Caenorhabditis elegans: one gene and its partner. The protein of the gene in region 1 interacts with the protein of each later gene in a biochemical or structural test. Each region holds a gene or a part of one and is shown on either strand. Other genes may lie near its edges. The genes, in order: rfp-1 and ubc-1.

What was found.
Region 2: the proteins of rfp-1 (region 1) and ubc-1 form a complex in vitro, tested with the Caenorhabditis elegans proteins (one study listed by BioGRID).

The regions. Positions count from the first base shown.
Region 1 is NC_003281.10:8,356,429-8,360,354, forward strand, and holds the start of rfp-1 (E3 ubiquitin-protein ligase bre-1), read left to right. Parts: upstream 1-2,193; 5' UTR 2,194-2,198; coding exon 2,199-2,324; intron 2,325-2,378; coding exon 2,379-2,546; intron 2,547-2,595; coding exon 2,596-2,735; intron 2,736-2,784; coding exon 2,785-3,268; intron 3,269-3,330; coding exon 3,331-3,456; intron 3,457-3,547; coding exon 3,548-3,926. Other genes in the region: Putative RNA-binding protein R05D3.8, read right to left, coding at 559-738, 808-906, 1,028-1,117, 1,171-1,466, 1,516-1,663, 1,714-1,836. UniProt on the Caenorhabditis elegans protein: E3 ubiquitin-protein ligase that mediates monoubiquitination of 'Lys-117' of histone H2B. H2B 'Lys-117' ubiquitination gives a specific tag for epigenetic transcriptional activation and is also prerequisite for histone H3 'Lys-4' and 'Lys-79' methylation.
Region 2 is NC_003282.8:4,100,959-4,104,884, forward strand, and holds the start of ubc-1 (Ubiquitin-conjugating enzyme E2 1), read left to right. Parts: upstream 1-2,061; 5' UTR 2,062-2,077; coding exon 2,078-2,128; intron 2,129-3,041; coding exon 3,042-3,431; intron 3,432-3,926. Other genes in the region: C35B1.2 (SWIM-type domain-containing protein), read left to right, coding at 1-150, 406-467, 902-1,049, 1,863-1,937. UniProt on the Caenorhabditis elegans protein: Catalyzes the covalent attachment of ubiquitin to other proteins.

The DNA of each region.
Region 1 (3,926 bases):
ATACGGCAGATGGTGAAGGAAGGCGGGGGAGACCGATTCGGATGCGAAAAAGAACGATAAGAGAGAAAAGACACTGCAGGTGGGAGTATTGTGTTCAGTAGATTTTCGTGGTGGGACCTAGAGGATGGTCGGTGCAAAAGCTTCATTGAAAAAGAGTGAAACGAGAGGAGAGACACACTCACAACATTCATTCGTTTGGCGGGAAAAGAGACGAGGGAAGACTTTAGTATTGGGTGGTAGAAAGAGTTGGAGAAAGAAATTCGAAGGGATACAAGGAATGTATTGGCATCGTGAAGAGACACAGAGATACATCCGTGGTTCCCTGTGTTCTCTTCATTTTGTATAATGTTTTATTCTCGGTCAGAGGGACAACGGACGGCCTCTTCAAACACTCACAGAACATTCGCTCACTGCGCTCACTAGTAGAGAATAAAGGAAGTTACGAGAGAATGAAACTTCGAAGATAAATCAATTTTATTTTTTAAAATCAATGTTCGTAAACTTCGAATTAAGTGAAACCGTAATTTGAGATATATGAGTTTTGTTTGATCATCACAGCTACCATTTTCTCGGTCCATAGCCACATTGAGACAATGGATCTGATTCTGGTGGTTGATGATATAGTGGTGCATATCCTGCTGCTGCAGATGGATCATAGTGATTTGATGAAGCAGATGATGAGGCATGTACAGAAGTTACGGGACGTGACGGCGTTAGATAAGCAGTGTGATTTGGAGGCTGAAAATGTAATGCAATATTTTAAAACACGTTTTACAAGATAATTTATTTAAACTTTATAAAACTTACTAGTTGCACGAGGTTTTGTTGTTCCTGCTCTTTTATCTTATGTTCCGCTATTTTAACGGACTCCTTCAATACAGCACGTCGGGTGAACATCAGAACATCCTGAAAAATGTTTCATAACGCGTTATAATACGAGGTTGCAATCAAGTCCTGATGACTACGCCTGATATTGTTTGTTGAAGAATTAGTCGCATCTTTTTTTGAAAGCATTCTATATTCTCACCCTGATGTATATTGACTTGGTTAGAAGAACATCAACAGATCTGGAGTCTGCGAAAGTTATAATGCAGAAGTGAAGCGGCCCTTCTGAATCCTGCAACAATAAAAATTAACATGAAATAAACATACAAATAATTAAAAACTTACACTGACAAATTCTACATCTGTGATTTTTCCGTAGGCTCCAAAATTCATTTTCAGTTCTTTTGAAGTTAATCTGTCTAGTGGAAAATAAGAAACAAAAAGTCGTTTTGATTCTACTTTCAACTTCTTATCATTTTCATCTTTTGCTGGCTCAACAGTGCATTTGGCTCGATCGATTTCATGAATATCTGATTTCATGCAATTTGAATATCCGTTCGAATCAACGAAAGTGATGTAGGCGTAGCCTGCGCTAGTCTTTCTCGGCTCTTTGATAAATGCTTCACCTTCTCCAATTTTTTCTGGAACTCGGCATTTTTACTTTTTTCAAAAGCTTTCGAACTTACGTACTCATGTAACTCTCAAAATCGCCGTGTTTTTCAACATCGTATCGTTCGACATCGAGCTCGTCATCTAATACATCATCATTTTCCACAGGCTCATATCGAATCGATGATCGTGTTGAAATTTTCTCCTCGTCTGGTCCATTGTCGAATACCTATAAAATGAAAATAATGACATTTTCTATCAGAACAAGAGTTTCTGTACCGAATATCTAGGAGGAGGAGGTAGAATGCACTCGTATAAAGTTCCAAATTGTTCAAAATATTTTTTAACTGTCGATTCCGTTGTATAGCTATCCAATCCTTGCACAAAAATCCTTTTTACCATTGTTATTTGGACGAAAGACCGAAATTTGAGGAGAAAAAAACGAATTAAGAATTCGAAAGTCCCGCAAGTCTCGTAAATGCTGTTCGGTCGTAAATCTACCCCATTTCCGTCTCTTGACCGTAGTCACACACTCTCTCACTCAGGTCTCGCAACGAAAAGAGTGCCATTTGAAATGTCTCTTTGGAAATCTTTTTGTAATCACCTTTTTTGCACTCCAAAAACAATAAAATTGTCATCAAATCTGTTCAAAAACATTGATTAAGTATCCGTTAATATGTTTAAAATCTTTTCCTTGTTTTCCCTGCTTTCTACCATCTCTTTAACATTTTGTATACAATATTAGAAACGTATTGATTTCAGGTATGATGAAAAGAAGTAATGAAGGTATAGGAGGAGAAAATTATGCAAGTAGCCCGAGTGACGATGGACAACAAAAACGACGCAAAATTCAATTCGAACCGGTCCGAATGCCCGCTGTTAGCAACGTGGTATGTCTTTCATTTAAAATCGAGGATACTATTAATAATCCCTAACGATTTCAGAACGATATAAGAGCTCGTGCCGTAGTTTATCAGACATCTAAATTAAAGCAGCAATTGTTGTACAAAAATAAGCGAATAGCCGAATTGGAAAAAGAAAATGAACGGTCCAAGAGGCGGCAGCAGACAGACGAAAGCAACTTTCTGAAGGTTTATAATATGTTCTCAGATGTACGTTTTTACTTATTTTCAGATTGCAATTAGTTATTTTCTTTTTCAGATTGAGAAATACATATGTACACAAACTAAGAATGAGTTTGGAGAATACATCGGAGGAGACACTGCACCAACTGGTATAGACGTTCTTGGAATGACTAATGAAACATATAACAAGTTCTTTGATCAGGCAAAGCAGAATTTGTGAGTTTTAAATTATTAAAATTCACTCTTAATTTACATATTTCTATAGACGGAATGCATTCGTATCGTATGCTAAAGCGCGCCACGATCGGGCTCACGAATCCACCATTTTCATCGATAAACTAAAAACATTGATCGATTCTCCTACCTTCAATCCAAATGGTGTCCATAAGGAGCTTACAGCCAAAGCAGCAAGTTTAGCTATACAAAATGAAAAGCTTCAATCCGAAGTTACCAAAGTTCAAAGCGATTGTTACAATTTGGAACGGAAAAAGCGTATTCTAACGGATAAGCTTTCTGTACAAGAGAACAGAGTTCAAGAATTAGAACATCAATTGGAAGATGCCCGATTTGAAACTGACAAACATATGCGTCTTGCTAACAAATTTGAGTACAAACTAGCCACCCTCGTCTCGGAGGGACAGTCTGGAGGGAACGGAGGGGCGACACCGTCTTCGTCGGGTACAACAAATGCTACTGAGAAGAAGATATCAGCTCCAGATATTCCACCAAGTGAAACAGCTGCAAAAGAAGTGAGATTTAAAAATTTTTTATCAATCGAAATGAATAACGCATTTTTAAAAAATAATTTCAGATCGAAAATCTGCGTCTTGAACGAGATGAACAGGAATCCATTGCATCACGACGCCTTCAAGATCTCGAGGAGATGAATAAAAAAGTTCAAACATTAACACAGGAAAATAGCAAGCTAAGACTAGAGGTACCGTTTTGACTATATATTAATTTTTATCCATTACAAAAATATGAAATTTTTACCCGAATTTCTTCTATTACCTCTGAAATAGTTGCAGACACAAACTTTCTTCTCTGTGGATTCAATTGTCAACTCGGAGGAATACAAGAATCTTAAAAAGTACTACTCATTAGCAATTAAAGAATACGAGCGAGTCAGCAAAGATCTTGAAGATATCACAACAGAACGTGATGCTTTCCGCAGTGCAAAGGAAGCTCGTGCAATGCTAATGTCTGAAGAACATCAGAAGACGCTGAAGGAAATTCAATGTCAATCGGATATTCACAATTCTTTCTACAAAGTATCTCATGACAGTGAAGTTCTACGCTGCGAATTCGAAACTGTTAAGGAAGAATATAATAAGACGGTGAAGCAAAGCGAGTGGGATGAAATGAAAGCAACTTTGAATACTCTACGATCTATGAATAGATCGTTAA
Region 2 (3,926 bases), on another chromosome or scaffold:
CAAAAGTACAGCCAGTCGTTTGGATTTGTGCGGAAAATTTATTTGCTCAAAATTTTGCCACTATGCCCGCCAGAAGTCGCTGAGCAACTTCATAATCGAGATTTGGCAGTAATATCGTATTCCTACAGAAATGCTCCGCATCCGACGTTTGTGAGTGGAGGAAATCTGGAAAATTTGCGAAATTTCGAAGGATAAGTAGAAAAAACACTGAAAAATTGACCCAAATTCTGCAATTTTCAAGATTTTCCATGAAAAAATGTCTTCAAATTGAGAAAATTTGTGTTTTTCCATAAAAAAAACCGCGAAATTTCAATTTTACATCAAAAATCGAAAAAATTATCCAAATTCTGCTCAGAAAAGCCAATTTTCGAAGCTTTTCCATCAAAAAACTGTAAAAATTTGCAGATTGAGCAACCGGATAGGCAGAAGCTTCCAGATGGTCAACGTGTTGGTGAAGAAGTTGAATTGTTAGTTTTTTTTTTTTTTTGAAAATTTGAATTTTCAGGAAAAATGTGGATTTTTTGAGGTTAAAATTCTGAAAATTAAAATTCCGAAAAAAAAACTTCGGAAAAGTTCAGAAAAATTAATTAAAAAGAAAAAAATCCGGAAAAAATGTCTAAAATTTTTGAAAAATGAATTTACACAAAAATCTGAAAAAAAAATCACTTTAAAGAAATTTTTAATGCCAAAAAGTTTCAGAAAAATATCAAAAATTAAAACAAAATCTGTAAATTATTTAAGAAGTAATGAGTTTTCCAAAAAATTAAGAAAATAGTTTTTTTTTCTGAAATATTTAAATTAATTTTTAGGGATTTTTCAAAAATCTCAAATTTTCTATAAAATCCATAAAAATTCCCAAAAACTTCTCTCTAAGAAATCTATCAATTTCAAAATTTTTCAGAGTTTCCGGAGATGTGATGTTCGACGATGATATTAGTCCAGAAATGCGAGAAATGGTTGAAAATATGGAAAGAAAAAAGAAAATTAATTCGGAAAGATTAATGGAATTACTACAAAGAATACATCGAATTGATCAAATTTGTAAAAAAGTACGGATTTTTTTAGTCGAAATTGATTTTTTTATAGCTGATAATTAAGTAAATCAGAATTTTTACCTTAAAATCGTGAAAAAAATTGAGCCTAAGTTGAATATTTTGTACTGAAAAATTGGAAAATTTCGGCTTTAAATTTGAATTTTTCTGAAAAATATTATAAAATTTGCATTTTTCCAGAAAAATTGGACTTTTTTACTCAAAATTTTGATTTTTTGAAAGTTTTCAGTTAATCATTTCGAATTTTCCGGAAAACCTAAAATTCCAGTTTAAACTCAAAATTTTCACCGAAAACTTCAAATTTTTCAAATTTACCAAAAAATTGACATTTTCAGTGAGAAAATTGAAATTCCAAAAAAAAAAAAAAGATAAAAATCAAAAATTCACCGAAAATTTGAATTTTACTGAGAATTTCACGTTTTTTTGTAAAATTTTAAATTTTTGGAAAATTGATTTTTTTTTAGAAATTTTTAAATTAAAATTTAGAAATTTCCACTAAAAAAATCAAATTTCATTAAAAATTCATTAAAATTTTTTTTTTCACTAAAAAAGTTCGATTTGAACCAAAATTTTCTAATTTTCAGTTAGAAAATCGAATTTCAATGAAAAATTCCAAAAAATTCAAATTTTCAAAGAAAAATTTGACATTTTTGGCAATTTTCCAGCATTTTCATTTAACATAAACTGAATTTTTTACGAAACATTTTCGAAAGTTTCCAATTTTTACGGAAATTATATTCCAAATTTGCACTAAAATACGAATTTTTTTGGGAAATTCCAATTTTCTACCTAATTTTTCGATTTTTGCAGGAAGCTTGGCTGGAATCGTCGGCAGAAGTTCAACAACTCACACAAATTGCTCAACTTTTGCATTATTGTCAATAAATGTTAAAAAATATTTTCTTTAATTTTTTGATTTTTTAAAGGTTGCCGTACCTTTTTTCATACTTGTTCTAGCATTTTTCTGCATTTTTTCGAATTTTTAACCTAATTTTCACATTTTTTGCAGGAGTTAGGTTATCAATATGACGACGCCCAGCCGTAGACGTTTGATGAGAGATTTTAAGAAACTTCAGGTGAGTTTTGAAATTTTTGGCCCGAAAATTTGGCTTTCTTTGAACATTAGAGAACATTTGCAACAAAAATTGGTTTTTTCCAGAAAAAATTAGATATTTTTGGGATTTTTGATAAATTTCTCGTGAAATTTTTAAAATTAAAATTGCCAAAAAATCGCCGAAAATATCCATAAAAACGGCCGAAAATGTCCAAAAAATCGCCGAAAATTTCCAAAAAAAAATCGCCGAGAATTTTCCAAAAAAATTGCCGAATTTTCCAAAAATTCGTCGAAATTCTCCGAAAAATCGCCTAAAATTTCAAAAATATCGCTTAAAATTACCAAAAAATCATCGAAAGTTTCCAAAAAACGGTCGAAAAGCACAAAAAAAATGCCCAAAATTTCCGAAAAATCGTCGAAAATATCCAAAAGATTGCTCAAAATTACCAAAAAAAAAAAAAAAATTACCAAAAAAAATCGTCGAAATTACTGAAAAATCGCTCAAAATTTCCAAAAAATCATCGAAAGTTCCCAAAAAATCGCCAAAATTATCAAAAAATCGCCTCCAAAAAAATTGCCGAATTTTCCAAAAATTCGTCGAAATTCTCCGAAAAATCGCCTAAAATTTCAAAAATATCGCTCAAAATTACCAAAAAATCATCGAAAGTTTCCAAAAAACGGCCGAAAAACACAAAAAAATTGCCCAAAATTTCCGAAAAATCGTCGAAAATTACCAAAAAATCGTCGAAATTACCAAAAAAAAAATCACTTAAAATTACCAAAAAACGGCTCAAAATCATTAAAAGATTGCTCAAAATTTCCAAAAAAAATCGCTCAAAATTCCTAAAAAACTGAAAATTTTCCAAAAGAAAGGTTTCTTTTAATTTCCAAAAAAAATCGCTCTAAATCCCCAAAAAAACGACCAAATCTTTCAGGAAGATCCACCAGCAGGAGTATCAGGTGCACCAACAGAAGATAATATTCTCACATGGGAAGCAATAATTTTTGGACCACAAGAAACCCCGTTTGAAGATGGAACATTCAAATTATCACTGGAATTTACTGAAGAATATCCAAATAAACCGCCAACCGTCAAATTTATTTCCAAAATGTTCCATCCAAATGTGTATGCGGACGGATCAATTTGTCTGGATATTCTACAGAATCGATGGTCTCCGACGTATGATGTTGCCGCAATTCTGACATCGATTCAGTCGTTGCTCGACGAGCCCAATCCAAATTCACCGGCCAACTCACTTGCCGCACAGCTTTATCAAGAAAATCGACGGGAATATGAGAAACGTGTTCAGCAGATTGTTGAGCAGGTACACAACCCTGAATTTTGGATGAAAATCGGCGAAATTAGAGCTCAAATATTGAAAATTTGGCAGTTTTTGACCCGAAATCGAGAAATTTCACCCCAAAAATTGAAATTTGGCTGAAAATCGATAACATTTAAGTTGAAATACGAAAATTCTTAAATTTTCATCTAATGTATGCAAAATTTGGCTTTTTGTGGTTCAAAATCGTAAAATTTTACCCTAAATGTGGAAATTTAGCTGAAAATCGATGAAAATTGAGTTAAAATTAAAAAATTTTGGAATTTTTATGCCAAAACTGAAATTTTGAGAAAAATTAAACGTTTGGCTGAAATTCGGCTGAAAATAGGCGAAATTTTTTGCGAAATATGAAAAATCTGAATTTTTATGCCAAAATTGAGATTTTTTTTGCGAAAAATTGCTGAATTTTGGCTGAAAATGGCTGACATTTCAAGCAAAAATAATTTTTTTTTTTTTGAATTTTGCAAAAAAGAACCGAAA